7 linked regions of the Mus musculus genome follow. The protein of the gene in region 1 purifies or fractionates together with the protein of each later gene. This does not show direct contact. Links are inferred from orthologs where the notes say so. Each region holds a gene or a part of one and is shown in the gene's direction. Other genes may lie near its edges. The genes, in order: Vapb, Wdr44, Akap11, Osbpl11, Vps13a, Prkaca and Aftph.

What was found.
Region 2: the proteins of Vapb (region 1) and Wdr44 purify together in Homo sapiens (affinity purification with mass spectrometry; 4 studies listed by BioGRID and IntAct, counting the BioPlex papers as one, with this or other methods). This does not show direct contact. The link is inferred for Mus musculus from reciprocal best matches to the Homo sapiens genes VAPB and WDR44.
Region 3: the proteins of Vapb (region 1) and Akap11 purify together in Homo sapiens (affinity purification with mass spectrometry; 3 studies listed by BioGRID and IntAct, counting the BioPlex papers as one, with this or other methods). This does not show direct contact. The link is inferred for Mus musculus from reciprocal best matches to the Homo sapiens genes VAPB and AKAP11.
Region 4: the proteins of Vapb (region 1) and Osbpl11 purify together in Homo sapiens (affinity purification with mass spectrometry; 4 studies listed by BioGRID and IntAct, counting the BioPlex papers as one, with this or other methods). This does not show direct contact. The link is inferred for Mus musculus from reciprocal best matches to the Homo sapiens genes VAPB and OSBPL11.
Region 5: the proteins of Vapb (region 1) and Vps13a purify together in Homo sapiens (affinity purification with mass spectrometry; 3 studies listed by BioGRID and IntAct, counting the BioPlex papers as one, with this or other methods). This does not show direct contact. The link is inferred for Mus musculus from reciprocal best matches to the Homo sapiens genes VAPB and VPS13A.
Region 6: the proteins of Vapb (region 1) and Prkaca purify together in Homo sapiens (affinity purification with mass spectrometry; 4 studies listed by BioGRID and IntAct, with this or other methods). This does not show direct contact. The link is inferred for Mus musculus from reciprocal best matches to the Homo sapiens genes VAPB and PRKACA.
Region 7: the proteins of Vapb (region 1) and Aftph purify together in Homo sapiens (affinity purification with mass spectrometry; 3 studies listed by BioGRID and IntAct, counting the BioPlex papers as one, with this or other methods). This does not show direct contact. The link is inferred for Mus musculus from reciprocal best matches to the Homo sapiens genes VAPB and AFTPH.

What each region holds. Positions count from the first base shown.
Region 1 is NC_000068.7:173,768,559-173,772,376, forward strand, and holds part of Vapb (vesicle-associated membrane protein-associated protein B), read left to right. Parts: intron 1-2,962; coding exon 2,963-3,066; intron 3,067-3,818. UniProt on the Homo sapiens protein: Endoplasmic reticulum (ER)-anchored protein that mediates the formation of contact sites between the ER and endosomes via interaction with FFAT motif-containing proteins such as STARD3 or WDR44.
Region 2 is NC_000086.7:23,755,332-23,759,149, forward strand, and holds part of Wdr44 (WD repeat-containing protein 44), read left to right. Parts: intron 1-1,108; coding exon 1,109-1,754; intron 1,755-2,763; coding exon 2,764-2,894; intron 2,895-3,818. UniProt on the Homo sapiens protein: Downstream effector for Rab11 which regulates Rab11 intracellular membrane trafficking functions such as endocytic recycling, intracellular ciliogenesis and protein export.
Region 3 is NC_000080.6:78,533,785-78,538,371, reverse strand, and holds the start of Akap11 (A-kinase anchor protein 11), read left to right. Parts: upstream 1-1,511; 5' UTR 1,512-1,660; intron 1,661-4,587. UniProt on the Homo sapiens protein: Binds to type II regulatory subunits of protein kinase A and anchors/targets them.
Region 4 is NC_000082.6:33,183,809-33,188,064, forward strand, and holds the start of Osbpl11 (oxysterol-binding protein-related protein 11), read left to right. Parts: upstream 1-1,262; 5' UTR 1,263-1,995; coding exon 1,996-2,192; intron 2,193-4,256. UniProt on the Homo sapiens protein: Plays a role in regulating ADIPOQ and FABP4 levels in differentiating adipocytes and is also involved in regulation of adipocyte triglyceride storage. Weakly binds 25-hydroxycholesterol. Interacts with OSBPL9 to function as lipid transfer proteins.
Region 5 is NC_000085.6:16,778,023-16,782,627, reverse strand, and holds the start of Vps13a (vacuolar protein sorting-associated protein 13A), read left to right. Parts: upstream 1-1,694; 5' UTR 1,695-1,858; coding exon 1,859-1,958; intron 1,959-4,605. UniProt on the Homo sapiens protein: Mediates the transfer of lipids between membranes at organelle contact sites. Binds phospholipids. Required for the formation or stabilization of ER-mitochondria contact sites which enable transfer of lipids between the ER and mitochondria.
Region 6 is NC_000074.6:83,993,336-83,997,137, forward strand, and holds the end of Prkaca (cAMP-dependent protein kinase catalytic subunit alpha), read left to right. Parts: intron 1-1,459; coding exon 1,460-1,624; intron 1,625-1,956; coding exon 1,957-2,082; 3' UTR 2,083-3,109; downstream 3,110-3,802.
Region 7 is NC_000077.6:20,703,460-20,707,277, reverse strand, and holds part of Aftph (aftiphilin), read left to right. Parts: intron 1-3,444; coding exon 3,445-3,567; intron 3,568-3,818. UniProt on the Homo sapiens protein: Component of clathrin-coated vesicles.

The sequences.
Region 1 (3,818 bases):
GGAATTGTGACTGGCCACCACTAGGCCTGCCTGTGTGCCCTGCCATCAAGTGTTTCTCTGGGCTCTCCACTATGGGGCTGAGCAGTAGGGTGCTGTAGTCTAGGAATGGGGGTAGTGAGGCTGTAGACCAGGATGCTGTAGGCCCAGGAGTGGGGTGGTGAGGCTGTCGACCATGATGCTGTAGGCCAGGAGTGGGGTGGTGAGGCTGTCGACCATGATGCTGTAGGCCAGGAGTGAGGTGGTGAGGCTGTCGACCATGATGCTGTAGGCCAGGAGTGGGGTGGTGATGGTTGTAGGCAAAGCTGCGGTTTTGAGGTCTTGAGGTATATGCTTACTCAGAGTAGCACAGGGATCATATGCAGTGCTGCCTTCAAAGCTGCCCCTGTGGCTCAGGCATGGGTGCAGATAGTTCCTTTCTCTTTAGGTTGCCTATAGAAAGGGCCCATAGGCACTAGTCCAGTTGATTCCCTCTAGAGAGGGCCAGGAAGGCAGTGTATGTGGCAGCTGTGCTCCTGTGTAGTCTCTAAACTTTTTGTGTTAGGGACAGTTGAAGACCCCAAAGAGTGTAGCAGGTCTTTGTGAGCTGTAGTGATATTTATTATATTAAAATTTTTTAAATGACTAATTTCTTTAAAAATTACAATCCGTCAATTACATGTTAGTAGTAATACTTTTTATGAAAGTAGCTATTCTCAAAGAAATTGGAAGGCTGGCGTTGTTGACAGCTTCTGCAAATCTGACGTCTTAATAGGCTGCTTCTCGTGTCTGCTTCATTCAGTACGCTGCACCGCTGTCGTGGTGGGTGGGTCTCCCAGACAGGAAGTTAACAGCATCTTTAGACAGCTCTGAGGCAGACAAGAAGCATTTTCTTTGTTTTGCTTCTTTTTTTTTTTTTCAATACTAGGGTTGACCCAGGCTTTGCGTGTGCTTTGTAGACCAAGCTGGCCTCAAATTGAGAGCCACCTGCCTCCGCCTCTGCCTCCAGAGTGCGGGATTAAAGGTGTGGGCTACCAACTACAGGCAAATCGGACCCATAGTGTGGGAATGAATGTAAGCCTGGACTCAGCCAGGCAGGAACCCCTCCTAGCCTTTTATCTCCTCCTATCTAGGAAGGAGAAACTTCTCATGGGACAGACTGCAGAAGGCAGGCCTGATATCCTTTGATACACAGTAGCAGGAGCTGTGGGGCAGACCTTTGGGTTTGTGTGTGTGTGTGTGTGTGTGTGTGTGTGTGCGTGCGTGCGTGTGCCTGTGTGTGTGTGTGTGTGTGTGTGCGTGTGTGCGTGCCTGTGTGTGTGTGCGTGCGTGCGTGTGCCTGTGTGTGTGTGTGTGTGCGTGTGTGCGTGCCTGTGTGTGTGTGCGTGTGTGCGTGCCTGTGTGTGTGTGTGTGTGTGTGTGTGCGCGCGTGCCTGTGTGTGTGTGTGTGTGTGTGTGTGCGTGCCTGTGTGTGTGTGCATGCGTGCCTGTGTGTGTGTGTGTGTGTGTGTGTGCGCGCGCGTGCCTGTGTGTGTGTGTGTGTGTGTGCGTGCCTCTGTGTGTGTGTGCGTGCCTATGTGTGTGTGTGCGTGTGTGTGTGTGTGTGTGTGTGCGCACGCGTACGTGTGTGCGTGCCTGTGTGTGTGTGTGTGCGCGCGCGTGCGCGTGTGTGCGTGCCTGTGTGTGTGTGTGTGTGTGTGTGCGCGCGTGCCTGTGTGTGTGTGTGTGTGTGTGCGTGTGTGCGTGCCTGTGTGTGTGCGTGCGTGTGTGCGTGCCTGTGTGTGTGTGTGTGCGTGTGTGCGTGCCTGTGTGTGTGTGTGTGCGTGTGTGCGTGCCTGTGTGTGTGTGTGCGTGTGTGCGTGCCTGTGTGTGTGCGTGCGTGTGTGCGTGCCTGTGTGTGTGTGTGTGCGTGTGTGCGTGCCTGTGTGTGCGTGTGTGCGTGCCTGTGTGTGTGTGTGCGTGTGTGCGTGCCTGTGTGTGTGCGCGCGTGTGCATGCATTTGTGGACTAAGGAAACTGGGTTCTATTTCAGGTTTTTCTGTTTTTTATTTTGCTGTTGTTGTTGTTTTAATCAGAAAAATAGACAGCAGAATAATGCCCTCCTCCCACAGCAGCGCCTGCTTCTTCGGATGGAGTGGGGTAATGGCAGTCTGAAGAGCAGGAGCCTAGGTTCTGGTTGGAGATGCAAGGCCCACACTGACTCTGAGGTGCCCCCTGATTGTGAACTTAGGTTTCAGGGAAGGCCACTAGGGGCAAAGCTTATTAAAGCTGTGCAGCAGAGAGAGTATAGCAGCCCTCCTATAACTGGGCCTGGCTGAGTCATGGGGAAACAGGTCCGAGGAAGTGAATCAGAATACAAGACTCCCTCAGTACAGCGGGGTGCCTTGGGTGAGCTCCCTCTGGGTTCTGGGTGGGGGTAGGGCAGGAGTTGGAATTGCTTTTCCTGCTGTGGCAAATCCAGCTTTTATGCCGTCTCCAGAATTCTATTGGCAAAATCATATTTCAAGCCTTACCTTGATGAGCTGCGTGGGAAATGGGGTGGAGAGAAGTGAAAACCATCCTGAAATGATTTGAGTTATTCTGTTTTCTTTCTCGAAAAGATCATTTGGCAATGTTTCCTTGAGAAAAATAGGACTTTGGTGTTTCTCCCATTTTATGTCTTCAGCGAGAGCTGTGAGATAGGTGAGGGTGGCTCTGTGTGAGCGCACAATCTTTGTATCAGAAATCAGGCACCCAAGTTCCAGACCCACCTACAGCTCAGCTGGCACCTGCTGTGAGGCTGGGACAGGCCCCAGTTTTTCTGGCCTTAACTGCTGACCTGAAAGATGGGGGTTGGGGAAGTTGTACATCTCTGCTGGCCACGGCCTTCCTCAGGGTCCAGATGGGAGAGCTGGGGAGCTGTTTTCCTCCACAGTGTAAGACCTAGCGTGACAAACGACTCCGATAACCACATTGTGACCCTCCTAATGAAATATTTTCTTTCTCAGTGATGTTACAGCCTTTCGATTATGATCCCAATGAGAAAAGTAAACACAAGTTTATGGTTCAGTCTATGTTTGCTCCGCCTGACACTTCTGATATGGAGGCAGTAGTAAGTACGAACACTTCTTCTTCTCTCCAGCCCGCTAGGGCAGCCATGGCGGGTGCTGTTAGGGAGGTGTACACTCAGGCCCCTGTACCACTTTCCCAACTTTGATGAATAGCTTTAACATTTTACATGGCTGTTCTTTTCTGACTCGATGAACTGAACTTGCTTCAATTCTCTGCTCTTGTGGACCTTCTCCTCCCTCTCCTGCACCACAGCGGCGTGCTCTATCCTGAGTGGATGCTTCTGGCCTGTCTCCAGCCCTCATGCCCGGAAGGGTTTGCCTAACATTAAATGCCCCTCCCCTCCCCCCCAGTGATACTGCCCGCTGTTGCTTTCCTCTGCGGAGCGGAAGTAGCTCTGGTCAGCTTTGTTCTTCCCTCTTTACTGAGGACGGAGCTTGGGTCTTGTTCACACTAAGCATCTGCTCTGTCTCTGAACAGGCCCTGCTTCTTTGTTCTTTAATTGCCTTCATTTTTATCCCTCCTTCCTCATGTAAGTACATGTTTAACAGTGTCCCTAATTTTGGTAAAATTAAGATGCCTTCGTTTTTTATAAATAAGCAGGATTTTATGGTATTGATTTTTCCAGAAGAAGGGGCATTAGAACGGCAATTCTCCCCAAAGGTGGCTCTTACCTACTCCAGGAGACAGGACCTGGGGCCAGCACATGCGGCACTGATCCTCAATATCTGGCCAGCCCAGAGATGGCCTATCAGCAGTTGTTCTGTCTCCGAGCTCTATGTGGGGGCCTTCTCC
Region 2 (3,818 bases), on another chromosome or scaffold:
CTAAAACTTTTAAGACAGAGAAAAACTATTACTTGTAATATTTTGGGATATCAAGGTGAATCTTACTGAACAGCAGTAATTATCAATTCTACCAGGATAGGTCTGGAACTACTCTGTTAACTTAGTGGAGCTGGGGAATTGAAAAAGTAGAAATTATCCATGGTTGGCACATTAGAAGAATGAATAGATCAGGGGACTTAATGCATTAGTAAGGACAACACTGGGTAGAAGAGGCGTGCTGGAGAGATGGCCCAGAGGTTAAGGGCACTGGGTTCAATTGCCAGCACCCACATGGCAGCTCACAACAGTCAGTAACTACTGTTCCAGGGGATCCAACACCCTCACACAGACATATATGCAGGCAAAACACCAATGTATATAAAATAAAATTAATAAATTGTTTAAAAGGCTGGGTAGAAGATATATTTTCTTCTAAATATTACTTAAGGATATAGATCACCTATGTGTATTTTTTTCTCTTAGACATGAGAAATGGAGTAGGAGCAATGTGGGCTGATATTTGAGCTCTTTTCATAGGTCTGTCCTCAGTCTGAGGAATGAAACCTTGCTTATAATTTTTCAAGAGTGTTCATCACCTTGCACCTTCTGGCTTGCCTCCTATACTCTTGAGTTCAGACTGAAACAAACTGAATTCTTATCCTAGGTGGATTTTGTTAACTAGAGATATCAGGGAGTTGTTGTAACTAGTGTGGCAGCGCTATGTAAATGAACTCTTGACATTTGGAGTCTTCATGAAAAGATATATGACTTCACCTTACAAGGTTGACTGAATTTTTGTGACTATTTTAATATAGATTCTCTATTATAGTGTTTAAGAGTATAGATTCTGAAAGCAAACTTTCAGGATTTATGATCCTTTTATTACTGTCTCACTCTAAAACTTAGGGCAAATTACATGGTCCATATATACTTTAGTTCCTTCATATGTCAAATGATGAAATTAGAAGTGAAACCTCATATAGGTTATTGTAAAGATTAAATTCAATGAAATGTTATAGACATTGCCTGACATGTGCTGAATTATCTATTATTTTGTTATTGTAAATAGCTTCATTATTTTTAAAACTGCTTTTTAACCTTTCATTAGATAATTGAAAGTATTATTGAGGAAAGTCAGAAAGTACTACAATTGGAAGATGACTCTTTGGACTCCAAAGGAAAAGGACTTTCTGATGAGGCTACTGCAGGTCCTTCTGTGGCTGGGACAGAGTTTAGTAACATACCTGGACTATTAGCCATAGAGCATGAACTACAACAAGATTCCGAAAAGGCAGAAAGTCAGAATGTAGCTGAAGAAAGTGAACTAGAAACACAAAAATGTTTTCCTTCTGATGAGACCTGTGAGAAAAGTGAGAAGACAGTAGATGAGACTGATAATTTAACTGAAGTAAGTTCAGGTGAGCAGCTTGATGCTTCTGGACTAGAAGCTGAAACACTGAACAAGGAAGCATTGGAAGTCAAAGAAGGTGATGTTCTAGATCCTGCCTCCTTGGACACTTTATCTACTACAGATTTTGCTGCTGTGGAAGAAGTGGCTCCTGCCAAACCCCCAAGGCACCTTACTCCAGAACCTGATATAGTAGCCAGTACAAAGAAGCCTGTTCCTGCGCGCCCACCCCCACCAACTAATTTCCCGCCTCCTAGACCCCCACCTCCATCTCGACCTGCACCACCACCAAGAAAAAAGAAAAGCGAACTGGAGTTTGAGGCTCTTAAAACACCTGATCTGGATGGCAAGTATTAATAGAGAAATACTTTGGTTGGGAAAGATGAGAGTTGAAACTTTAATGTTTCTGCTTTTGGTTGGGGAGAAGTAAGAGTGGGTCTTTTAATGTCATCCGGGCTAGCATGAAATTTACTATGTTGACCAGGCTACCCTTGAACTTACAGAGATCCTTCTGCCTATACCTCCCAAGCATAGTCATTTGCCATGATTCTCAGCTAACTTTTCTGCTTTTGTTTCAGTTTGTGCTAAAGAAAAAAACACAGATAGCTAGGTTATATAAATTATTTCTTGAATAAGTTGACAAAAGGTGAAAGGTAATAAGTTATAGTAATATTACTGAATATCTTGGCAAACTCTAGACTCTGATATCTTTTACATTCTAAGAATTTATATGGCAATGGTGGAAAGAAAATGCAATTAAAAAACTTATAATATAAATTTAAATCCTAGATCTTTGAATGTATAAACTGTAGTCTTGAACCATGGCTTTTCAATAAGGAAAACAAGTAATAAAAGCCACTGTTTTGCTCTTATTCTCTTGTTCTTGCTCCTGCTCCCCCTCTCCTCCTTCCCCTCCCCCCTCTCTCTCCACACACTCATGGCTGACCCTCTTCCCTCTCCCTCTCCCTCTCCTCCCCCTCTCTCTCCTCCCCCCTCTCTCCCTCTCTTTCTTCCCATCTCTCCCCCTCTCTCTCCTCCCATCTCTCCCCCTCTCTCTCCTCCCATCTCTCCCCCTCTCTCTCCTCCCATCTCTCCCCCTCTCTCTCCTTCCATCTCTCCCCCTCTCTCTCCTCCCTTCTCCATGCCCTGAATACACTCTACTATATTCTAAAAATAAAAAGACACTGTTCTTACAGTCTTGTTACAAGAATTAAATAAAGGTTAAAAGCACTTGGTATATGTGTGTGTGTGTGCGTGCACATGTATGCATATATATAATTGTTGATATTATTGTTTTGTTATAAATATCATTGTCATTTTTGTTATTACTATTATTAGTTTTATTATCATTTCAGTACCCAAAGAAAATATTACATCTGATTCTCTGCTAACTACAAATATGGCTTCAGAGAATACAGTTAGAGATTCCCTGCCTTCCCTCGATTTAGCAAGTGCTACCAGTGGAGATAAAATAGTAACTGCCCAGGTTGGTGAATTACTGTTATATTTGATATCAGAGAATTCAAACTGTATAACTGTCTGATATAATTATTGAAACTATCTTTCTTCTCTAGGCAAAATATTTCTTTGTTCCCAACACCTGACCACTTCCATGTCTAGCTTGGCTACTAAATAGTTTAGTGAGGTTAGCTAGCTATTTAGCTTCTGATTTTTAGAGGCCTCACTGATAAAACAGAGGGAAATGGCCCACCTTGAAGGTTTTCTGCAAGAATAAAATGTGCTACTATATGCCAAGTGTGTATTTATAAAAATGGTTGCTGCTGTGTTTAATGCTGTAAGTTTCCTTTACTATACATAAAAAAAAAAAAAATCATGTACTAGGCTGTTGGCTATACAAAAATACTGCATAGCATTTTACCACAGCCAAATTTTGGAACTCTGGATAATTTATAGAGTAGCTGACGTGAGGGGGGTTAACAAACCTGGAAATGTGACATTATCATCTTATAGCAATACAATAGAGGTTATAAATAGCCTGTTTTTTGTAGAATTTTGTGTTTGCCTTTTTAAAATTTTTTTAATATAGAAGAATATGCAATGACAACTGTATGTAAAAATTTTAACATATTTGTTGTCTAGATTTTTATATAAACAGAACTTGTCCTAACCCTTCTTTAGCAATATCCACATATGGCCTGAATTAATTACAATCTTAATAGAGAACTGCTGTTTTGGATAGGTTCAAATAAAACATTTATTTGTTTGTAATAATAATAAGGCATGATTTCATGAATAGCAGTAGTTTTGGTGTCTAATGTCTTTCAGCATGCAGAGGATAATAAAGAACTAAAATCTGTCCTTTAAATTTTCAGTAGGCTCTTTTATCTGATTTGTGGAATTTTATAGAAGTGCTCATAGTAATGAATAACTAAAATGTATAGAAATTGTT
Region 3 (4,587 bases), on another chromosome or scaffold:
ACTTAGAGATGCGGCTACCTGTGTAGTGAAAATGGAGGACAGAAAGCCAAAGGCAAGAGGCCTCTCAGGCCATTCGCTTCTCAAGTAGTTTAAAACAACAAAATGATAAAAAAAAAAAAAAATCTACATATTTTAAATACAAGTCAGCAGCCAGCGCTTAGGGCTCTGACTTAACACATTTTGGAGACTGTCAAGGTCATTGGAAATTGGTTCTCACAGGATTGTCTTTTACCTGGACGAGTTCCTTGTTGTTTCAGCTTCCGTAAAATTCACTCTCTACAGGGAAGAGCTTACTAGTTTTTTGTTTTTTTTTTTAAACTAATTGTTATTGTTCCCCCCTTTAAGAGGTCAAAGCTTTTCATTGTAGACTAAACTCCCAGTTCTTTTCTTGGTTGATGAAGCAGTAAGGGATCTAGCCTCTATTATCATCCCAAGTTTATTTCTTGTTATTCAAATGTGCTAGATTAGATCCGGATTTGGGGCTTGTGAATTATTCTACTTTCTGCTAGCGATGTAGGGCTGCTATCCAAATCACTGCCTGAATCTTTCCTCCCACAAGGGCACCACCCCCAAGCAGTGGCCCAATTGTAACCACCACCATCAGATGATGATAATCTGCGAGTTAACACCTACAGATATCCACCCCCTCCCCCAACCCGGCCCCAGCTCTCAACAACCTAATCTATTTGTCTTCATAGTGTTCAATAGACAACCTGGAATTATGCCTAAAACGTGTAAGGAAAGCAGCCAAAAGCTGTTGAAGAGAACGAAGATATGACTGTACTCTTTCTTGTCTCTCTCCCCTAAAGAGGATAAAACAAATAAGGAGCATCTACTTCAAAATGTCCTTCTCATCTCTCGGCCAGTTTGAGGACCGTATGTCCTTGAGGAGACCATGCAACATGACTGCACCGATTCCTCTGATTTAAACAGGAATCACACAGCTTGTCACCCAAGGCTAGGCTTCTTGGTGGTCAAAGCCTTATTTTCCAATTTCAATGGCCCGTGGGGTTGGGAAGTGCACTGCCCTTTAGACTGACTCCAGAGGTTCCGATTGGGCCCAAGGCTTCCTCAGTGGTTTCCCCTGATGATGTTGGGAACCGGGCAGACCCATTCTGAAGGATGGGCTGTGTCTGGACCCCTGATGTCGTGGGCTGCCACTGGCTGTGGGAAACCAGCCCCAGGAAGGTCTAAGGGTGGCGGATGGGATGCCAGCATCCTGGGCTCGGGCGCTTGCCAGAGGAAAGGGTTAAGCCGTTCCCAAGGCAACGCACCAGGAAGCGCGCAAGACGTCAGCCGAGAGTTCGTAGGTCAGCTCGAGGTTTAAAGCTCCCACGGGCCGAGGGCCGCCTGGCCAATGGAGAGGGCGCCTCCGCGTCACGTGACGGGCGACCCGCAGCTTTGCCCTCCAGAGCACGTGGGAAGATATTTTCCCCCCACCCCTTGTTCCTTTTGCGCGGGCTCGGCCACGGGGTCGTTCTCGCGAGAGGTGCGACGGCTCTCGCGAGAGTGAGTGGGCGGCGTGGGGAGGCGGCGGCGGTGGCGTCGCGGGCTGGGGCGGGCGAGGGGGAGCGCCGCTGCGCTGCGGCTCGCGCCACCGGGCGTTGCGGGCCGTGACGGGAGGCTGACATGCCCGGGAGCTGAGAGGCTGTGCCGCCTGGTGAGCGGGGCAGGGAACCGGGAGCCAGAGGGCCGGGTCCAGACTGCGGCCGGGCGCCGTGGCCTCGCTGCGTGGGGCGCGGGCGGGAGGACGGTGCACTTTGTCCTCCGCAGCAGCATCCTTCCCTGTCAGCGTCCGAACCCAGGTCCCCGGCGCTGCCCTAACCCCAGATGCCGCTGTTTGCATCGCTGTCACGTCGCCTCCAGGCTGGCCAAGCATCCGAATTGCGCTATCAAATAGAAAATGGGCTGGCCAGACCACAGTGACAGTACAGTCTAAACCCCTGGTATAGCTTGGTGACAGTCCTTTAGCTCTGCCTACGGTCTTTAAAAAGAAAAGAAAAGAAAAAAAAACCCTATTAGTTGGAGGTGGCTTAGCTTTAGGCATTAAGGCATTTTGCGGTGAGCAATACTGCTGAGACACATCGCTAATGGCCTTGGCGCATACTGGAGTTAATATTCGCAGTTCTTTTATAGCCTTGTGATTATCCATTTGCTTCTAAATCGCTTGTTTTCCTTTGCATCTTTCTCACCTTGTTAGCAGTGTTATTTATATTGGTACTCAATTTTGTTATGTATGAAAATATATAAAATAAGGGCATCAGGAAAGATGGAGTATTTATTCATGCAAAGGTGATTTTGTTTTAATGTCTTTGTGTTTGCTTGGTGTGTGTGTGTGTATGTGTTGGTGTGTGTGCTGGTAAAAGGCAGCCTAGTATGATTGATGTCATTTTCAATAGTCCCACCTAATCTTTCAAACTATAGAAGCATTTTTTTCAAGGAATAACCTGGTTATTCATACTTGATTGTGTTTTCCAGGCAGGATTGTGAATCATAGGTTGGCAGTAAATTAAGCAATTAGTTGTGTAGTTAGTAACTGACTTATGAGGGATGAAGGGATATGAGGGAATTGGGGAAGACGTGGGTTTATAAGCTGAGCTGTGGCTAATGTAGATAGCTACAGAACTGCTCAACTGATCTGCCTGGAAAGGAATTGGCAGTATATACTCTGTGCCCAGTGATGTTTCTCAGTTGTTGAAGATTCTGAAGTTGGAGGCCCAGAACTGTAGTGAGAGATTTGCTAGCCTTCTCAAGCCTCTGAATTCCAGGGCTTCGTCAGGGAAACAGAAGAAAATCCTTTGGGAGAAAGGATGGTACATTTTATTTTAATTCCAAAGACTTAGTGTCTGGGAAAGGAACTCAGCCAATTCCGATCATAATGCAGCAGGTTGTGTAAAGGGAAATTTCCAGCTATAAATAGGGGAATTCTAGTCACACAGGGAGATATGAAAAACTTAGGTGAGTGGGCAAAGGAGTTAGCAAAAGTTCCCTTCCACTCATCTTTGTTGCTAGTCTTTCTAAGTTGTGGCAAGGGTTTCAGACTTTTAGAGCAATGGTTGCTTTGTCTTGTGTTTGGAAAGCAATTGAAGTAACTTTGGATGGAGCAATTACTTAGGTAATCCAAGTGTTGTTTTTTGTTTTTTTTTTTTTCATTTTTTCTTTTTCTTTTTGTGAAGTGGCCCCAGTAGTTAAATAAATAAATAAATAAATAAATAAATAAATAAATAAATAAAAAATTAGCCACTCAGAGAGAATGAGTGTTGAGCCAGGTTAGAGAACTCTTGAGTTTAGCTTGTGTGAAGTTGGGCATACCCTGGCATTCTGGCACAGGGAAAACATGCTTTACCATCTTAAAAGCAAATGGGGCAGATCCATATATTTTCATTTTTTTCTGTTCATGCTTACAGAAAGAAATTAATTGAACATGACCTCCTGGAGATAAGCATTTAGACTGTGTGGATTATTGACTAGACTTGACAGAAGGAGGAAGCGGAGAGATTTTGGATTAGCCTCTGCTTACTGGGAGCTTTTTCTTTGACCTTCCTTAATGGTTTGAGGATTATTTGGCTGCCAGAATCAAAAAGCCATTAGAATTAGCTTACTTGAAAAAGGCATTTGTTGGGGCTGGCGAGATGGCTCAGTGGTTAAGAGCGCCGACTGCTCTTCTGAAGGTCCCGAGTTCAAATCCCAGCAACCACATGGTGGCTCACAACCATCCATAACGAAATCTGATGCCCTCTTCTGGAGTGTCTGAAGACAGCTACAGTGTACTTACATATAATAAATAAATAAATCTTAAAAAAAAAAAGAAAAAGGCATTTGTCATATTGTTGGAGCACTGATGCTAAGGTCCAGTTTGTGATTCTAGCTCAGTGGCCTGGAGACTGGGAAGTCTTGAGGTTGAAATGCACCAAGTTTTCTCTTAGTTCTTTGCTATTAGTTGCATGCTCTCTTCAGTTGTCAAACACTGACCTTCTCCTGAGACCTCCTGGGCTTTTTCTTTGCTTTGTAAGAGTGTTCACATCAGACCCACCTTGACTTTGCATCATGGTTCCTAACAGAGCTCTTCCACTCTCAGTTCTAAATGTCTGTGTATCGAGAGAATGTCGTGGTCAGCTTTCTACTTCTTGTCAGGTTGGTTGTAGTGTGGATTAGGAAGATGGGACTAGGAGATGGAGGGTGGGGAGCCACACTGTAGTCCTAAAAAGGACTTGAGCCTTTCAGACTGCTTCAGCAAGGTCTTTAACATGGGAGGTCTGTAGTTGGGAGCAGATGATGGATACCTATGGTGTACTGTAGTATCTTGGAGTTGGAGTTCTTCCCCCAAGCCCAGCATTTCCCTTGGTCTCAGCTATGTAGAGTTGTAAACTGCGTCCAGTGGTCCCTTTCCAGGACAGGTTATCTTGGGTTTGTTAGGTTGGACAGGCTGCTTAAAACAGTTTATATAATGGGCATAGTGCTACCGTGAGAATTCTAGATGCACATGTGTAAACTGTTGGTTTCCAGCTGGCAGATGGCAGTTATGGTGCAGAAGTATGTTGTGTACTGTCTTGTTGCTGACTGTGGACTGGGCGTCTGGAGTGTTCA
Region 4 (4,256 bases), on another chromosome or scaffold:
ATCTAAGCCACATCTTCTACTGGAGGCCTACATCAGGACCTTGAAGAAAGAAGGTTCACTCTTCTTCAACTGATTGTACTTACTTGCTAGCAAGTCTGTTGGAATCTATTTCCACAGAAGACCAGCTTATACTAGCCTCACAGGCCTGACTTCCCACTCACAGCTGCCCATTGTTGGGTTAGTTGGACTACAGACTGTAAGTCATTACAATAAATTCCCTTACTATATAGAGACACTCCATATGTTCTATGACTCCAGAGAACCCTAAGACAAGGATTATTTCTTTTTTTTTTTTCCGAGACAGGGTTTCTCTGTGTAGCCCTGGCTGTCCTGGAACTCACTCTGTAGACCAGGCTGGCCTCGAACTCAGAAATCCGCCTGCCTCTGCCTCCCAAGTGCTGGGATTAAAGACGTGTGTCACCACACCCGGCTAAGGATTATTTCTTAAGTACACCAGTGTGGTTCTTTCAAGTAGTTGTTACCCAGGTTAATCATGCCCACCTGGTAGAGGTAAACTTTCCCTGTGCCTAGACAAAGAGTTAATGGCAGGCTGGGCCTTGCAGATGGTTGTGGTCCTGCATTGCCCCTGTGTCTTGTTTTAGGAATGCTCTTTGATGGGTATAATGGCAGGTTGTCTCCTTTTGCTGTGGGAGTGGAGCCTAACTGGAGGTCAAGCTGAGGGGATAAACAGTAAGAGAAACTTCTTCAGAGACCCCAAACTTCAATTATGGTAAAAGTTTTCTTTCTTACAGTTTGTAACAAACGTGGCAATAAACTACTTTTCTTCCAGTGTTATTGGTCCTTTTTAAGTAAGCTTATTAGTAAATCCTTTTTATATCAATCTACTTCAAGTTTCTCCAGCATCACCAAGAGCTCTAATTTCCAAGACAATTTCCTTTTCTTTAAGACGATTTACCTTAGTCCAATATCATGTTGGGTTTTTTGTTGCTCAAAAATGACTGATCAGTTATTTTTCCCCACTTTGTTCTGTAAATTCTTATTTTTTTAGGTTCCCTTAAAAGGCAAGGAATGGGGCTCCCCAAGAGAGTATAGGACCTGTTTAGCAAGACCGTTTCATTCCCTTTTTCTCCCTCCCTCCCGCCTGCTGCCTCTTTCCCCACTGCTTCTTTCAGCTCCTTCTCTCCCTTGAGGCTCCGGTCACCGCCTCCTTTCGGGATCGTCTGCCCCAATCAAAGATGGCGCCGCCGCTTCAATGCTAGCGGAAATGAGCTCACACGACACCGGAAAGGAAGGCGGGGAGAGCTAGCAGGCGGGTGGGTGACCGGCTGTGGGTGGGGCGGCGGCCCGGGCCCTGGCTCTGGCTTTTACGTTTAGGGCTAAGGAAGCTCCAGGGAGCGGTCGGCTCCTGTGAACTCCGTGGGGCTCCAGGGCTAGCGCTCTCGGAGGAGGCCACGGTGAACCCCTCGCCTCCGGCCCAAGCTCAGCGGCCTCGGAGCCCGCGTCCTGCCCGGCGGCGTCTGCCCGACCCTCCGCGGGCTTCGCGCGACCGCTCCGGCTCAGTTCGGGGCTGCGGTGGGAACCGCGGAGCTGGCTGGACAGGGCCCTTTCTCCCGAGGACCCGGCTGAGGAGAAGAAGCGGCGCGGCTGGCCCGACCCCCGAGTCCTGAGGTCAGGCCGTGGGCTCCGGGGCTCCCGGGCCGTGGACCCCGTCCTTGCCCCGCGTTCCCAGGCAGAGGATCCGCGACCTCGCCCGCGCCGCCCGGCTGCTCCTCGGAGTGTGGCACCGAGCCCTCTGGCGGGGTGATTTGTCCTCCTTGTTCTTGCTCGGGAGAGGCATCTATCTGAAGGGTACCCGTGCTCTTTAAAACTTTTAACCAAAGTGGAAATGCGTGTCCTCTTTTTCTGGACCACTGTCGATTTCCACTCTAGCCGAGGTCTGAGATCCCGTTGAGAGTAAAAAAACGAGAGAGAGAAAGGGGGAAAAGTACTTACAAAATAACTCTGCACTTGGTGTCCCTCGCCCGAGAAGGGCAGATGAACTTTGGAGTTAAGATGCAGGGAGGTGAGCCGGCATCGGTGATGAAAGTCTCCGAGAGTGAAGGGAAGCTGGAGGGCTTGGCCACAGCAGTGACCCCGAACAAGAACAGCGGCAACAGCAGCTGTGGGGGTGCCATCAGCAGTAGCAGCAGCAACAGCAGCCGCGGTGGCAGTGCGAAAGGCTGGCAGTACAGGTATGGCCCTCCAAAGTGATGTTCTGGGGTGGCTCGGAGTGTGATGGGGTCTGCATATCCCAGTTGGAAGGCCAATTCCAAAGCGGCTGATGATCTGACTTGGAGATAGAACCCTGCTTTCGTGAGCAGGATTGACTTTCTTCAGAAATTCATTCAACAGGTAATTTTTTGAGGCCCTTTGAGGAATTCAGAAATGTACCCCAGAGTTTTCTCGATTATCCAAGGGCTTATTCTTCCTCTGATTTATCTCTACACTCACTTCTGGTTTTTGCCTCTGTTGTAATCTGTTTACAAGCAAGCCTGAACGTCTCTTAGAGCAGAAACTGTGGAACTCAGCGCTTTGAGAGGCAAATGCTGGTCTTCAAAACTTGTGGAATGATTCGAGTAACAAGAGTCAGAGAAGATCTTATCCTTTGGTTGCTTGTGACTTAGAGAAGGGGAGGGACTTAAATACAGAGGCTGATAAGCAGTAGAGTGTAATCAGGCTACTTGAAAACTCTTGAAATTCTACATTTGTTAGTTTTTTTTTTTTTTTTTTTTGGTTTTTTCGAGACAGGGTTTCTCTGTGTAGCCCTGGCTGTCCTGGAGCTCACTTTGTAGACCAGGCTGGCCTCGAACTCAGAAATCCGCCTGCCTCTGCCTCCCGAGTGCTGGGATCAAAGGCGTGTGCCACCACGCCCGGCCATTTGTTAGTTTTTATTAATGTAAATGAAAAACTTGGAGAAATATCAAAAGCTTCATTTTGGTGCTTTAAAAAATATATGTATAAAGGGTTTGTAAAACAAAAAAATATATGTATATGTATGTATGTGTGTGTGTATATATATATATATATATACATATATATATATATAGTATAGGGAGAGATTACTACCCATAATTCTAAGAATGAATGGAATTAGGGCATCCTATAATGTTGGATCTACACTGATGAATACTGAAATTTTGGGTAACTGCTTGTATGTTTAATTCTAGTTGGTTTTGTTTGTTTGGTTTGGTTTTTGATTGTGTTAAACTCTTTGACTACACTTGTAAGACTTGGAAGGGGTAGGAACCAAGATGTTGTGAAAGCTACATATTTATCATGAGTACTATCCATATGTATGAACTGCGCGTGTGTTACAATATGCAGATGTGGGCTGGGCGTGGTGGTGCTCTCTCTTAATCCTGGAGCATGGGAGACAGGCAGGAGAATCTCTGTGAGTTTTGAGGCAAGCCTCATATCTGCATAGTAAATTCCAGCACAGCTAGGACTATATATCACCCTGTATCACCTAATATGCAAATATATGTCTATGTGAAATATGCAGGCATGAACCTACAGAAGTGAGAAGAGTAGCTAACTTTGTAATTGGCAATGGGGATTGAAGTCAAGTCAGTGTAACTCTCCCCCTTTGTGATTTTTTTCATTTTATTTTTTTATGGGTGTGAATGTTTGCCTGCATGTATGTATGTATGTATGTATGTTTGCATATGTGTGCACTGGCTCTATTGAATCTAGAAGAAGGCATCAGATCCTCTGGACCTGGACTCATCATGGAGCTGCCACATGGGTTCTGGGAACCAAACCCAGGTCCTCTGGAAGAGCAGCTAGTGTTCTTAACTGCTGAGCCATCTCTCCAGCCCCTCTCAATTTATGTGTTAAGATGAACCATAAGAAAATTCTTTTTTGTGGGGATATTTTGATATCATTCAAGGAAGTAAGGAAAAGTTCAAGATAACCAGAGGTCAGTCTTATAGTAGCAATTCTGAAAACCACTCTAAATTAAAGTGAAAAATGAAGTAGAATTAGAGCAAATATTAGGTGCTCAAAACTCATGGTCTCGCCGGGAGGTGGTGGCGAACGCCTTTAACCCCAGCACTCGGGAGGCAGAGGTAGGTGGATTTCTGAGTTCCAGGCCAGCCTGGTCTACAGAGTGAGTTCCAGGACAGCCAGGGCTATACAGAGAAACCCTGTCTCGAAACCCCCCCCCAAAAAAAACAGACCAAAAAACAAAACAACTCGTGGTCTCCTTTTCTTGGCTTCTCCCCCAGGTTTAGAGTCTAAAGATGTTTAAAACAAAA
Region 5 (4,605 bases), on another chromosome or scaffold:
TATTCAGGACCCTTGTGGATACCCACAGTTTGAGGACTGACAAACTGGGGTTGTGGATGGGGAAGACTAGAAGAGTGGGTTCTGTCTATGAAGCTACAATGGAGAAGCCTTCATCCCTGTTGGGTAAGTACTTCCCACACCCACACTCCCATAACGAAGTCCTCAGATATGCTCTTTAAGGAAGCCCAACAAACTCATTGGTTCTCCAACGTGAACTTTGATGGAATCATATCTGCGTTTGTCCTTGGGGACCATAGGAGAAGCAGTCCAGTGTTTTATATCTTCTCTGGGATCAAATTTTAGAATAGGCTCAAGAGACGACACTGCCTAATAGCATTTGCTTCAGAGGACCTGAACTCCGTTGCCAGCACCCACCCACATGGAGGCTCACAACCTCCTGTAACGCCAATAACCAGAGAGCTATTCCTGAGGGTACCAGGTACGGATGTAGAAAACACTTATACACACACACAAATGAAATTTAAAATTGTGCTAAATAAAAACTCATTAAAAAAAACCAACATGGATGAAGGTTTAGAATCTTGATAGAAAAATCCATGAAAACAGAAGGGGTCCTATTTGGGAAGAAGGAATCAGTCAATAGGACAAGAAAGAGTCATGGGTAATAAACGACCAAAATATACACATTTATCAAGATGTTATAATGAAACCCATTATTTTGTAAAATATATGCTAATATATTCTTTAAAAGCTTAAAAAAGTTTACACTATTTTTGCTCTTTTTTTTTTCTGAAATAAATTTGAGATACTTGATGACTATGCACAAAATACACTCAGTGCCAAATCAGGATGTGCCTTGCGAAGAGAAAGTTGAAAGTGTACTGCTGCCTCTGAAATCCTCAGAGGATTAATGTCGGTTCTGTAAGTTGCACCTCTGTCTTGTGACCTCAGGACTTTGGGACCAATTTTCTCTAAGTCCAAGCGTGGAGCGGAGACACTACTTATTTTAGCTTGGCCACTAAGGCTCAGAGGTGTCTTTCTTGGTTCTTGGCAGGCTCTCTGCTGTCTCCGGACTGACTCAAACGTGCTACTCTTTAACATGACTGGCGGCTTTCACATAAATGATTTGACCGGAAAAAGGTGCCAAGAGCAGTTGCACATTAAGAACTTGGAATTTATCTCCCAACTTTACTCTCCCTCGCCCCTCCTCAGCACAGATTAGTAGCTGAGGAAGTAAGGGAAGGCAACTGAAGGGCCAGTTCGCATCCTTGCCAGGAGAAGGGAGAACGTCAGGAAGTACCCAAGCACCAAGGCTGGCCGAACCTCACAACTGGTAATAATGGGGGAAAAGCGTCCTGGGAAACTGCCTCAGGAAACTTCCCGCAACCTCGCACCAAGCTGTACACTCTCCACTCTTTGGATCCCGCGATCTTAGTTTTCTCTTTCGGAAGCGGCGTTCCTGTCGGTTATCATCACGCCCCGCCTCCTAGAGAAAGTTCGCTGCGGGTAAAAAGGAGAATCATTCCGGGGCGGGGTCTCCAGCGCTCGACTGGTGTTCTGTTGCTAAGCGACGGATAGGAGGCGCGGCCGGCGGGAGAGGCCCGGCGGTCCGCTCGCGGGCAAGGGCGGGCCCGCGGCTGCGCAGCCGCCGTCCTTCACTCTCGCTCCCGGCCGCGCCTCCAGTTCCGCGTCGGTCACGCCCCCACGCGCAGCCCGAGCTGCGCACGCGTGGTGCGAGCGGCTACCTTCCTTCTGTGGGGCTCGCGGTCGGGTTGAGGGGACCCGGCAGCACCCGCACCGTAGCTGGAGCGGGCCGGGAGCCGGTAAGCCGAGCCGTCTCGAGGGAGGAGCAGCCCGGGTAGTGCCGCGGTGCCCTCCGCGGCAGAGAGGAAAAAAAATGGTATTCGAGTCGGTGGTCGTGGAAGTGTTGAACCGGTTCCTGGGAGACTATGTGGTGAACCTGGACGAGTCCCAGCTCTCCCTGGGCATTTGGAAAGGTAACGGGGTCGCCGCTCCAGGGTCGCGGGAGACGGCGGCGCGGTTTCTCGTGGCTTCGGTCCTTGGCCAGCCCGGCGCCGCCACCTGCAGCTGCCCGCCTCGCCCTTCAAGTTATGTAAAGCGGGGCGGCGGTTCCCGGGCGGGCGGGCGGGCGGCGCGAGCCGTGAGGTTGGGGGAGGCGCTGGCTGAAGCCTCGCGTCCCGGTGGGGCCGGGTGCTGGTGACCCTTGGCCTCCGCTGGGCAAGGGAGGCATCCCTGGCAGTTTGGCCCCGGGCTGTCAGGAAGGCTCCGGCGAGCCCACGGGGAGTCGCACGCCGACTTGCACGTGAAGACCAGGCGCCGTCCGCGAAGACACCCTTCGTCCCTTCCCTGCCCCACTTCACCGTGCTTTCTAGGCGAGTTCCGGTCCGGCCACTGAACTTGGACTTGGGTGTTGCTTAGCTGGGACAGGCAAATGACAGGGGGAATAAAAGGAAAGGAAAGCCCCTTTCAGAGTATCTCAGAGTTACTTAGGTTTTCAGGTCGCAGCCTGACCAGGTGGGAATGTGGGTGTTTGTAAGACCTGAGTTTTTTGTTTTTTTAAAGAACGAAAAGAAAATGCAGGAAAACAGACGGTCAAAATGTAATTTGGGCTTTCCGTTTCTCGGACCTGACGAAGACGTGATGAGCACTCCTCTCTGTTGCTTAGATGGGAAGGGCTGCATCTACCCCTTCACTGCAATGATTTACCTAATACAGTGTCTTATTTTTAGTGTTTCCATCTGTATTGCATTAGACTCTTGTTTATTTTAAGTAGCTATTAGCAAGTAGAGGCCTTTTTTGAAATGAACGTTCCAGGCCAAAGTTAGGGTTAATTATTTGTGTAAATAGTGTGTGCATTCTCTGATAATGTACTTACTTAAAACTTTCTAAAAGTTCTCGTTTATCTTGAGCCTTCTCATTTTTGAAATAATGAAAACAAGTAATTTAGTTTTATTAAACAAACAAGCCCTCAATGTAGCTAGGTACCTTCTTCCACGATAACGTGGGCAATTGATCTGTAAGAGCTAGCACAGCCTCTTTGAGATCAGGTACTTGCAAGTTGCTTAGTCTGCGCTGCTTCTCAGTTGCAGAGTGAGGATAACAAAACTCTGTAGCTCAGAAAAAAAGCCTGGAAGAATATCTGAGCTGGTACCTGGAGAGATGGCTCAGTGGTGAAAAGCGCTGGCTACCTTTCCAGATGACTTGGATCCAAGCCTGGTGTCCACATGACAGCTTACAATCATCTGTCCCAGGGCATCTGCCTTTCTCTTCTGGCTCTAGGGGCCACTGCACACAAGCGTGTAGTGCACAGACATACACACAGGCAAAACACTCATACATACAGATGAAAACAATAAAATGAACAAGAAAACGTTACTTGAACAGTGGTTTGATTTGTAGTGAAATGTTTTGTACATTTAAGGTGCAGGCTGTGTAAACTATAATTCACCAAATTTATGTATTTAAAGTTTACCTAGAATAAAGTTGAGTCTTGTGAATAGTTTTGTTTTAATAAACCTTAAGAATGTTTCAACTATCTCAATAATGATACAAAAAGATTATAAGCCTAGGAAATTCCCACTTCTTTTCTTTGTAATTGATTCTTCCTCGAGTGGCAGTTACTTATCTGTTCACAGTCTGCTGGTTTGCTTTTATTTTTAAGAGTGTTATAAACTGAATCCTTTGGCTTTGTAGCTTTTTTCTTTTTGAGATCCAGTTTCACTATGTAGCCCAGGCTGGCCTGGAACTTAGAATCTTCTTGCTTTGGTTCCTGAGTGCTGGGGTTAAAGGCCTGTGCCATCACACTCAGCTTCTGTGTAGCGGCTTGAGTCAGGCTTCTTAACAGAATGCAGAGAAGTCGTCCATGCGTCATTCACGTCCTGCATACATCACCTTGTCCTGCTCAGAAGCACGGGAATGGCAGGACAAGGTGATGTATGCAGGACGTTAGGGCTTGTTATAGACACAGGTTTGCCATCTTTGCAGTATTTCCTTTTTGGCAGTTAAAGGGCAAGGTGCATCAGGTGTTAGTGTGAACATAAATTATTTCTTTGGAGTAAATGCCTAGCAGTGGGATTGTGAGTGGTAAGTAAATATGTAACTTTATGAGAAGTGAAATGATAGGATTTGGTTAAAGTCTGATTGTGTCTCCTAAAAGTTCTATGTTGGAAGCTTAGCCCCTAGTCTGGCACTGATAAGAGGTGCTGGATCTTTTAGATGTAGGCCTAACAAGGCACAGTGGCCTCTCACCTTAGCTTTCAGTTTCTTTTTGTGAGCTTTCTCTCTGTCTCTGTGTGTGTATCTCTCTGTCTCTGTCTCTCTCTGTCTCTCTCTCGTGTGTGTGTGTGTGTGTGTGTGTGTGTGTGTGTGATCTTCACCATAGCTGCTGCTATGCTGTTTGAATTTTCAGCCTGCAAAACTGAGCCAAATGTATTACTTTGTCTATAAGAACCAGTCTCGAGCATTTTATTATGGTCCCCCCTCCCCCATGAATCCACCCCTCAAACTTAACTAATACACCTTGACACTGATGTCTGAAATGGCTCTGTTATGTTGCACCATCACCAGTTTTGTATCAAGATGTAGCTGTGCACTATCCTCTTGAGCATTGCTAGCCTCACTTCT
Region 6 (3,802 bases), on another chromosome or scaffold:
GTCCTGGAACTTACTTTGTAGACCAGGCTGGCCTCGAACTCAGAAATCCGCCTGCCTCTGCCTCCCGAGTGCTGGGATTAAAGGCGTGCGCCACCACCGCACGGCTAGAAGCTAGTTCTTATGGGTGTAAATCCAGAGGAAGCGTGCAGAATTGTATAAGAGCTTTTGGAGGTACATGACTGGGTGAACCATACAAGCTATTTTATCCAGGCTGAGGAACTACCCTTATTTTCGAAGCCCTCGGAGCCCTCAGAGGAGCTGCCTGAAGGATCCCAGCGAGGATACAAGTCTGCAGACCTAAGAATGGAACCTCCTACAGTTCTGTTCCCTGCGACCTTACCCAGAATTCCCGAGCCAGCAAACTAAGGAGGGCATTCAACATGTTTTTTTTTTTTGTTTGCATGGCCACTGGGCCTAAAGGCAGAGCCCTGTGTATGTTGGGCTCCGACCTGCCCCAGCGCTGTAGTGCTAGCTCCAACAAGCCATCTCTGTTTATATTTTATCTACTTTAATTTGTGTGTCTGTATGTGCATGTGTACACATGCATACAGTAACCTTGGAGGCCAAAGGCATTAGATCCCCTAAGAATGGAGTTACAGGTGGTTATAGGCCAATGGAGGTCCTGGGAACAAACCAGGACCTTTGCAAGAACAAAGCCATCTGTTAGTGCAGCAATGAGTTTTTGGGTTTTTTGAGACAGGTATTCTTATGTAGCCTTGGCTGGTCTTGCCGTATAGATCAAGCTGGCCTTAAACTCACATCACAGAGATCCACTTGCCTGACTGGATGCTGATGTTGAGATTATCTGTGAGTGCCACCGCACTCTAACAAGCCATTGTTTTGTTGTTTTTTGAGTGTTTCCCCCCCCCCCCTTGGTTTTTTTTTCTTCTTCTACTTCTTCCTCTTTTTTTTTTTTTTTTCTTTTCGGAGACAGGGTTTGTTTGTTTGGCCCTGGCTGTCCTGGAACTCCCTCTGTAAACTAGACTGGCCACAAACTCACAGAGATACACATGCCTTGGACTCCCAAGTGCTGGGATTAAAGGCATGGGCCACCACTGCCCAGCCCCACAAGCCTTCTTAACAGATTCTCCCTGTAGGCCTATTGGATAGAACAGGTCCTAGTCTGCCAGGTACAGTGGTACATACTCTACACTAGCACTCAGGAGGCTAGGAGACAGGATTGTGTGGTTAAGGCCAGTTTGAGCTACACATTAAGATCCTTTCTCACCCAGTACGGTGGTGTACACGTTTAATCCCAGTACTTGGAAGGATAGGTGGATCTCTGAGTTTGAAGGCAGCCTGGTCTACAGAGAGTTTCAGGACAGCCAGGGCTACACAGAGAAACCTTGTCTGCGGTATCAGAGGAGGGGGTGGGAATTGTGTCAAAAATGGAGAAGGTGGCATTCTGGACCCCCAAAGCCTATGAGCAGCGCCCCACTCGTATCTACACCCCTTCCAGGTGCGGTTCCCATCCCACTTCAGCTCTGACTTGAAGGACCTGCTGCGGAACCTTCTGCAGGTGGATCTCACCAAGCGCTTTGGGAACCTCAAGAACGGGGTCAATGACATCAAGAACCACAAGTGGTTTGCCACGACTGACTGGATTGCCATCTATCAGAGAAAGGTGGGCTTCTTTTTCCCATACCCAAAGTTGGACTTACGGCTAGGATAGCATAGACAGCCCATTAAGTTCCAGACTAAACAGAAGGCTTCCTCAAGCCAGTAAGGGACTATACATGGTGGATACTGGGTTTTTCTGGCCACTTTGTGGTCTTAGGCAGGAAATATCCTCTGGGAAGTGACTTCCATTTGATAAGTTGGGTTGCAGAGAAGACCTTAATGTTGAGCTCAGGCCTGGGTCACAGCAAGTGTTGTTTGAATATTAAGCCATTCACCTTTATTGTTGTGATGGTAAGGTCAGCTAATGTGATCTGGGTGGTTTTGATTCCTATCCAGGTGGAAGCTCCCTTCATACCAAAGTTTAAAGGCCCTGGGGACACGAGTAACTTTGACGACTATGAGGAGGAAGAGATCCGGGTCTCCATCAATGAGAAGTGTGGCAAGGAGTTTACTGAGTTTTAGGGGTGTGCTTGTGCCCCTTGGGTTCTCTTTCATTTTTTCTTTTTCTTTCTATTTTTTTTCCGGTTGGGGGTGGGAGGGTTGGATCGAACAGCCAGAGGGCCCTAGAGTTCCATGCATCTAATTTAACATCCACTCCACACCCCCAGGGTTAAGGAGAGCAGGAAAGCGCTCCAGATACTGGGGAAGGGGCAACATCAGCTGCTCCCCCTCTCCCTTCTTCTCCACCCTTCCCTGCCTGTTTTCAATGAATTTCTTAGCTCCAGCCATACCCAATCTTGCTGGTGTATCCAGGGGCAGGGTACGGAAAGAGGGCCCCAAATTCAGCCTCCTTCCCGACCCTAGCACTGGATACTAAGGATGAACGAACAGTAACGCCAACCTTCCCTTCCATGCAGCCCTACCTGGAAAGGGAGATTTTATGACCTGTACAGAGGGCTGCTTGCCAGTGGGGTTTTTTTTTTTTTTCATTTAAATTAAGTTCCACCAGTGCCTCCCACCCTCCAAACTGTCCCACCCTCCCCAAACACCCTCCTCACTCCCTAAATCCATTCTGATGAGACCCGGGTAGCCAACTGACCCTGTCAAGGAAGGAACTGGGCTTGGAATCTCGCCCTGAGCTGCTAGCCTCCCGGCCCCCCTTTCCAGTGGTCTCATGCCAATTGTCCTGTGCATCAGCCCCCTTAAGAAGCCTCCCCCATCCTGGGCGCCTCGCTTCTAGCTTAGCTGTCAGCTGTCCATCACCTCTTGCCGTGCGTCCCCACTCACTGCAACCCCAAGTCTGATTGTGCTTTTTCTCTCAATAGAAAGGTGGGGAGCTGCTGGGGAAATTACCCCATTTATCCCTGTGTTTATCCCTCTCGTAACTTCTCCCAAAAAGGAGGAGCTCTCAGGCCTGGGTGGGGGCCCCGGGTGGACGAGGGGGTCGTTCAACCTGTGTGCTTCGAAGGATGAGACTTCCTCTTGAACAGTGTGCTGTTGTAAACATATTTGAAAACTATTACCAATAAAGTTTTGTTTTAAAATAAAAGTGTCGCTGGTTTTCCCGACTTCGATCACACCCTTGGGGTGTTGGAAAGGGAATTTCGAACCTCAATGTCCAGGTTCTGGAGACCCCGGCCTCGGGACCTTGGAGAAACCAGGTTTGGCTGGAATTCCTGTACTTCCTCCGCCTGGCCAGAGAAAGGAGGGGTGGGGTGGGCAAACTGTCCTTTGACCCTGAGTTCGGGGCCCTCAAATCTGCTCCCACCCCTACTTCGGTCTAGTCCGGGACAGAGAGGGCACTGGAGAGGGCCACTCGGACCGGTTCGGCCAAACAGCAGCAGGATTAGCAGGGTAGGAGAAAAGGGGAGCCCCGCGCGCCCCCAAGCCCTCATGTAGGCGCGGCAGGGCCGCTGGTGAGGTCTCCGCGGCTTCCCAGGAGCGAGGCGCGTCCGGCCGCGGCGCGGCTAGTTCCCGGTAAGTGCGGTCCCGAGAGCGCTGAGCGCGGAGAGGCGTGGAGAGGGGGCTGGGCGCCGAGGACGTCTGGGTCCCGCGCCCAATGGCTGGAGGGCGGCCGAACGCCGCCCGCGCGCCCCGCCCGCCCCTGTCCCCTCCCCCCTGGGCTCCCCTCCCCCTCCCCCGCCCGCCGCGCTCCCCGCCCCCGCTCCGGCGCCAACTCCGCGGCGCCTCCTTAAAAAGCGCGCGGGAGTTGTAAGGGGGGGCCGGAGCGAGCCGGAGTGAG
Region 7 (3,818 bases), on another chromosome or scaffold:
AGCTGAGCCATCTTCCCAGCCTGTTTTTTCTAAACTTTTAAGAAGAAAAATGGAAGATAAAATGCCTGGCACATTAGAGATATGTTTAATTCAGTTATTAATTTTAAATAAAACAACATTGAGACTGTGGATGTCCACAGGAACATGAAAATACCAAATTAGAATATATGGAAATAAGCCAGGACCTTACCGTTTCCATTAATATTGTTAATGTGGTTTTTTTTTTTTCCCAGATATTCCAGTTAGTTCTAGCAAATGGGAGGCAAAATGTGACTGAATCTTGTTAAAGAATAGAATGAAAAATGCTTCTTTAACAAGATTCAGTCACATTTTGCCTCTTGTGGGGAGTGGGTCTACATGTGTGGTCAAGGCGAGGACATTGGGTCCTTATTCCTTTGAGGCAGATTGCTCACTGAACCTGGACTAGGCTACAGGCCAGCAAGCCCCAGCTTTCTCTGTCCAGGATTCACAATGCTGGGATTACAGGCATGCATGAACAGCTAACTGCACCCATCTTTTAGGTGGGTCCTGAGGATTTGCACTCGGTCGGGTCTTCAGGTTTGCACAGCAAACACAGCTATCTGCCCAGCCTCTGAGTTATAGTATAAAGTTTGGTGTTTGTGGGTGAATTATTGCTAAATGAAAATGTCCTATCTATTAAGCAAAAATCTCATGTTATTATAAGGAGTAAATTGAATGTAAGGGGAAAATGTGGTTTAAAAACTCAAGAAAGCTAAGTGTGGTGGTGCAGACCTATAATCCCAGCACTACAGAGGTGAAAGCAGGAGGGTCAGGAGGGAGCGAGCTCAGACTCATCCTTCTCTCACGCTAGCTCAAGTTCAGCCTGGGCTACATGAAAGAAACCCTGTTTCAATGAACAACAAAGTAACAACAACAAAGCAACTGTAAAATGAAGTCTAAATTCTACCACTTATATGTGCCTGTAAAGTACAATTGTTTTGTTTTGTTTTTATCCACAGCTTACTTTCTGTGAGTAGGCTCTAATTTTATTGGCATGGAACTGGAACATTATGATTTTTTTCAGTTTGTTGTGGAATTTTCTGTGCCTGAGGTTTTGTTTTGTTTTGTTTTTAAATTAGTTGCTGCTCACTTACTTACCTTGTATTGTATGCTTCTCTGTTCTAGATGAATACAGTCCAGAACTTTTCTTTAACTTGTTGGTTACTTGGATTTCTTTTTTTCTCAGACAGTAGGACTCCAGAGGCTGTTGTGTAGTCTCTTAGTCTAAGTGGGACTTGTAGATAATTTGGTAAGCTTGCCAGCAGTAGCTTCTTGATGCACGTTAGCTGGCTTTAAGGAGTTGGTAGTAAAACTTACACTTCATTTTTGAACTTTATTGCCTGTAATAATAAAAAACTTACTACTTTTAAGGTTTTAAAACACTAAATGTATTTAGTGAATATAAATAGATTTATGGGTGGGTAGTGGAATTGTAGCAAGTGTCACCATGCCTCCCTTTTTACTTGAGTAAGCAGTGAACTAAGTAAGGCCCCTCATGCTTGCCAGGCCAGTGCTTTTTCCAGTGATGTCTCTGATACAAAGCTTAACGACACCTCTATTTCTTCTGTGGTGCATCTCAGATGGAAGACTGCACCTGAAATAGTCATTTCAGTGTCTGGTTCTCCAACTTCATCAGAGTCATTTGGAAGATTTAAGACACAGGTTTCTGTGGGTGGGGTTTGGTGGTGCATACCTTCAATCTCAGTACTAGGGAGGGGATCTCTAAAATCAAGGCCGGCCAGCCTAATCTACAGACAACGTGGGCTGCCCAGAGTAAATTCTGTCTCAAAAAGAAAAAGAAAGAGGAAACAAAAATCAAAAAGACACACTATCTTAAGCTTTTTTATAATCCGAGGCAGAGCTTGAGAATTTATACAGTTGATCAGGTTTTAGGTGCTGTTGATTGGCAACCACAACTTGGGCACCACTGGTTTAAATCGTAGTTCGAATTAAGAAGCATTTAAGGCATATTTTAATATACGTGGTGTAGCACTTTGACCATGAACTTACTTTCATCTTCTACTGCATGGAAGGAGGCCTGCCACATGTAGTAACATTAGGAATTGGGAGGTTGGGGAGAAGAGGAGTTCATTGTGTAAATTGCTTTTTATTAGTTTCTACCTCAGTGAGAGTAGGGAGTCTCCTGAAAGGCAGTTTTAGAAATGTACAGATTTTGAAATTACTGGTTAGTAGCTTTGATCTCATATACACATGCACACATATAGTTAAAAATGATTTTTGTATGAAATATAAACCAATAAATATTTCAGAGCTCATCAGGTTGTTTGGTTTTGTTTGGCTGGTCTCCAGAAGATGTAAGCATAAACATTTACCCTGGACCTCAGCTGTGGTTTATATATGTCAAAGCCTTGCTGCTTTGTGCTGTTAACCTGAGTTAGCTATTTCCATATTTGGTAGAACCTTGATACCAAATGATTTGCTTGTTTGTTTCCATATCAATCTACAATATTTTCATTTTTTACTTTAAAAAAGTATGTTTGAATTGTTTCAGATCCAGTGGAGTACATACAGTGTCTTGCCCTCTGAAGTGGCAGTCTGTCTATACTTTCTTTGCCAGACCCAGAATCTAAGTACTGAGACACCAGCTCAGATTTAAACATATTAAATTCACACTAAAAGACATATGCTTTCAACATACCACTATGTTAGAAATAATTGCCTTTTCATATAATATTAGTGTCTTTTTTGTTGTTGTTGTCTTTTTGAGACAGGGTTCCTCTGTGTAGCCCTGACTGTCCTGGAACTCACTTTGTAGACCAGGCTGACCTCGAATTCCACCTGCCTCTGCCTTCCAAGTGCTGGGATTAAAGGCGTGCGCCACCACCACCTGGCTAATATTAGTGTCTTAAGTAGCATAAAATAAAATATTATTGAAAATGGAAGATTTGGGACTGGAGAGATAGCTCAGCGGTTAAGAGCACTGACTGTTCTTCCAAAGGTCCTGAGTTCAATTCATAGCAACCACATGGTGGCTCACAACCATCTGTAATGGGATCTGATGCCCTTTCTGGAGTGTCAAGGACAGTGTGGTCATATACATAAAATAAATAAATATTTTTTAAAAAAAAAAATGGAAGCTGGGCGGTGGCTTTCTGAGTTCGAGGCCAGCCTGGTCTACAGAGTGAGTTCCAGGACAGCCAGGGCTGCACAGAGAAACCCTGTCTCGAAAAACCATAAATAAATAAATAAATAAATAAATAAATAAATAAATAAATAAATATTAAAAATTTAAAAAAATAGATTTGACTTCAAAACATTTTATTCTAAAATAATCTTTTATATATATATATATATATATATATATATATATATTATTTGAATTTTTTCTTTTCTCTTACATTGCCATTATTATAAGCTTTGTATCTATCCATTTCCAATTAATGACTAATATATCTTTTTCAGGGAATGTTAGAGCCCACCAAGGAACCATTAAAACCACTATCTGCTGCAGAAAAAATTGCTTCTATTGGTCAGACAACCGTTATGACACCAGAAATAAACACGTGTACATCTGATCCATTCCAGGTAAGCTGTCCATGTGTATGCAAGTGGCTATGCATTTATACAGACGCGTAATCACACATGCTGGCTTATTTTTCTTAATATGTCTTTCATTTTATATTTGTAAAACTTGAAAGTGGACATGTTTTAGATTGTTACTTAACATTCTTAGGCTACAGTGAAGAAATAATCTGTAATTTTTAAAAATAAGAAGATAAAATACAAAACAAGATTTATTATTAGTAAGTTTTAAACCAGTCCAAGTCACAGTCTTA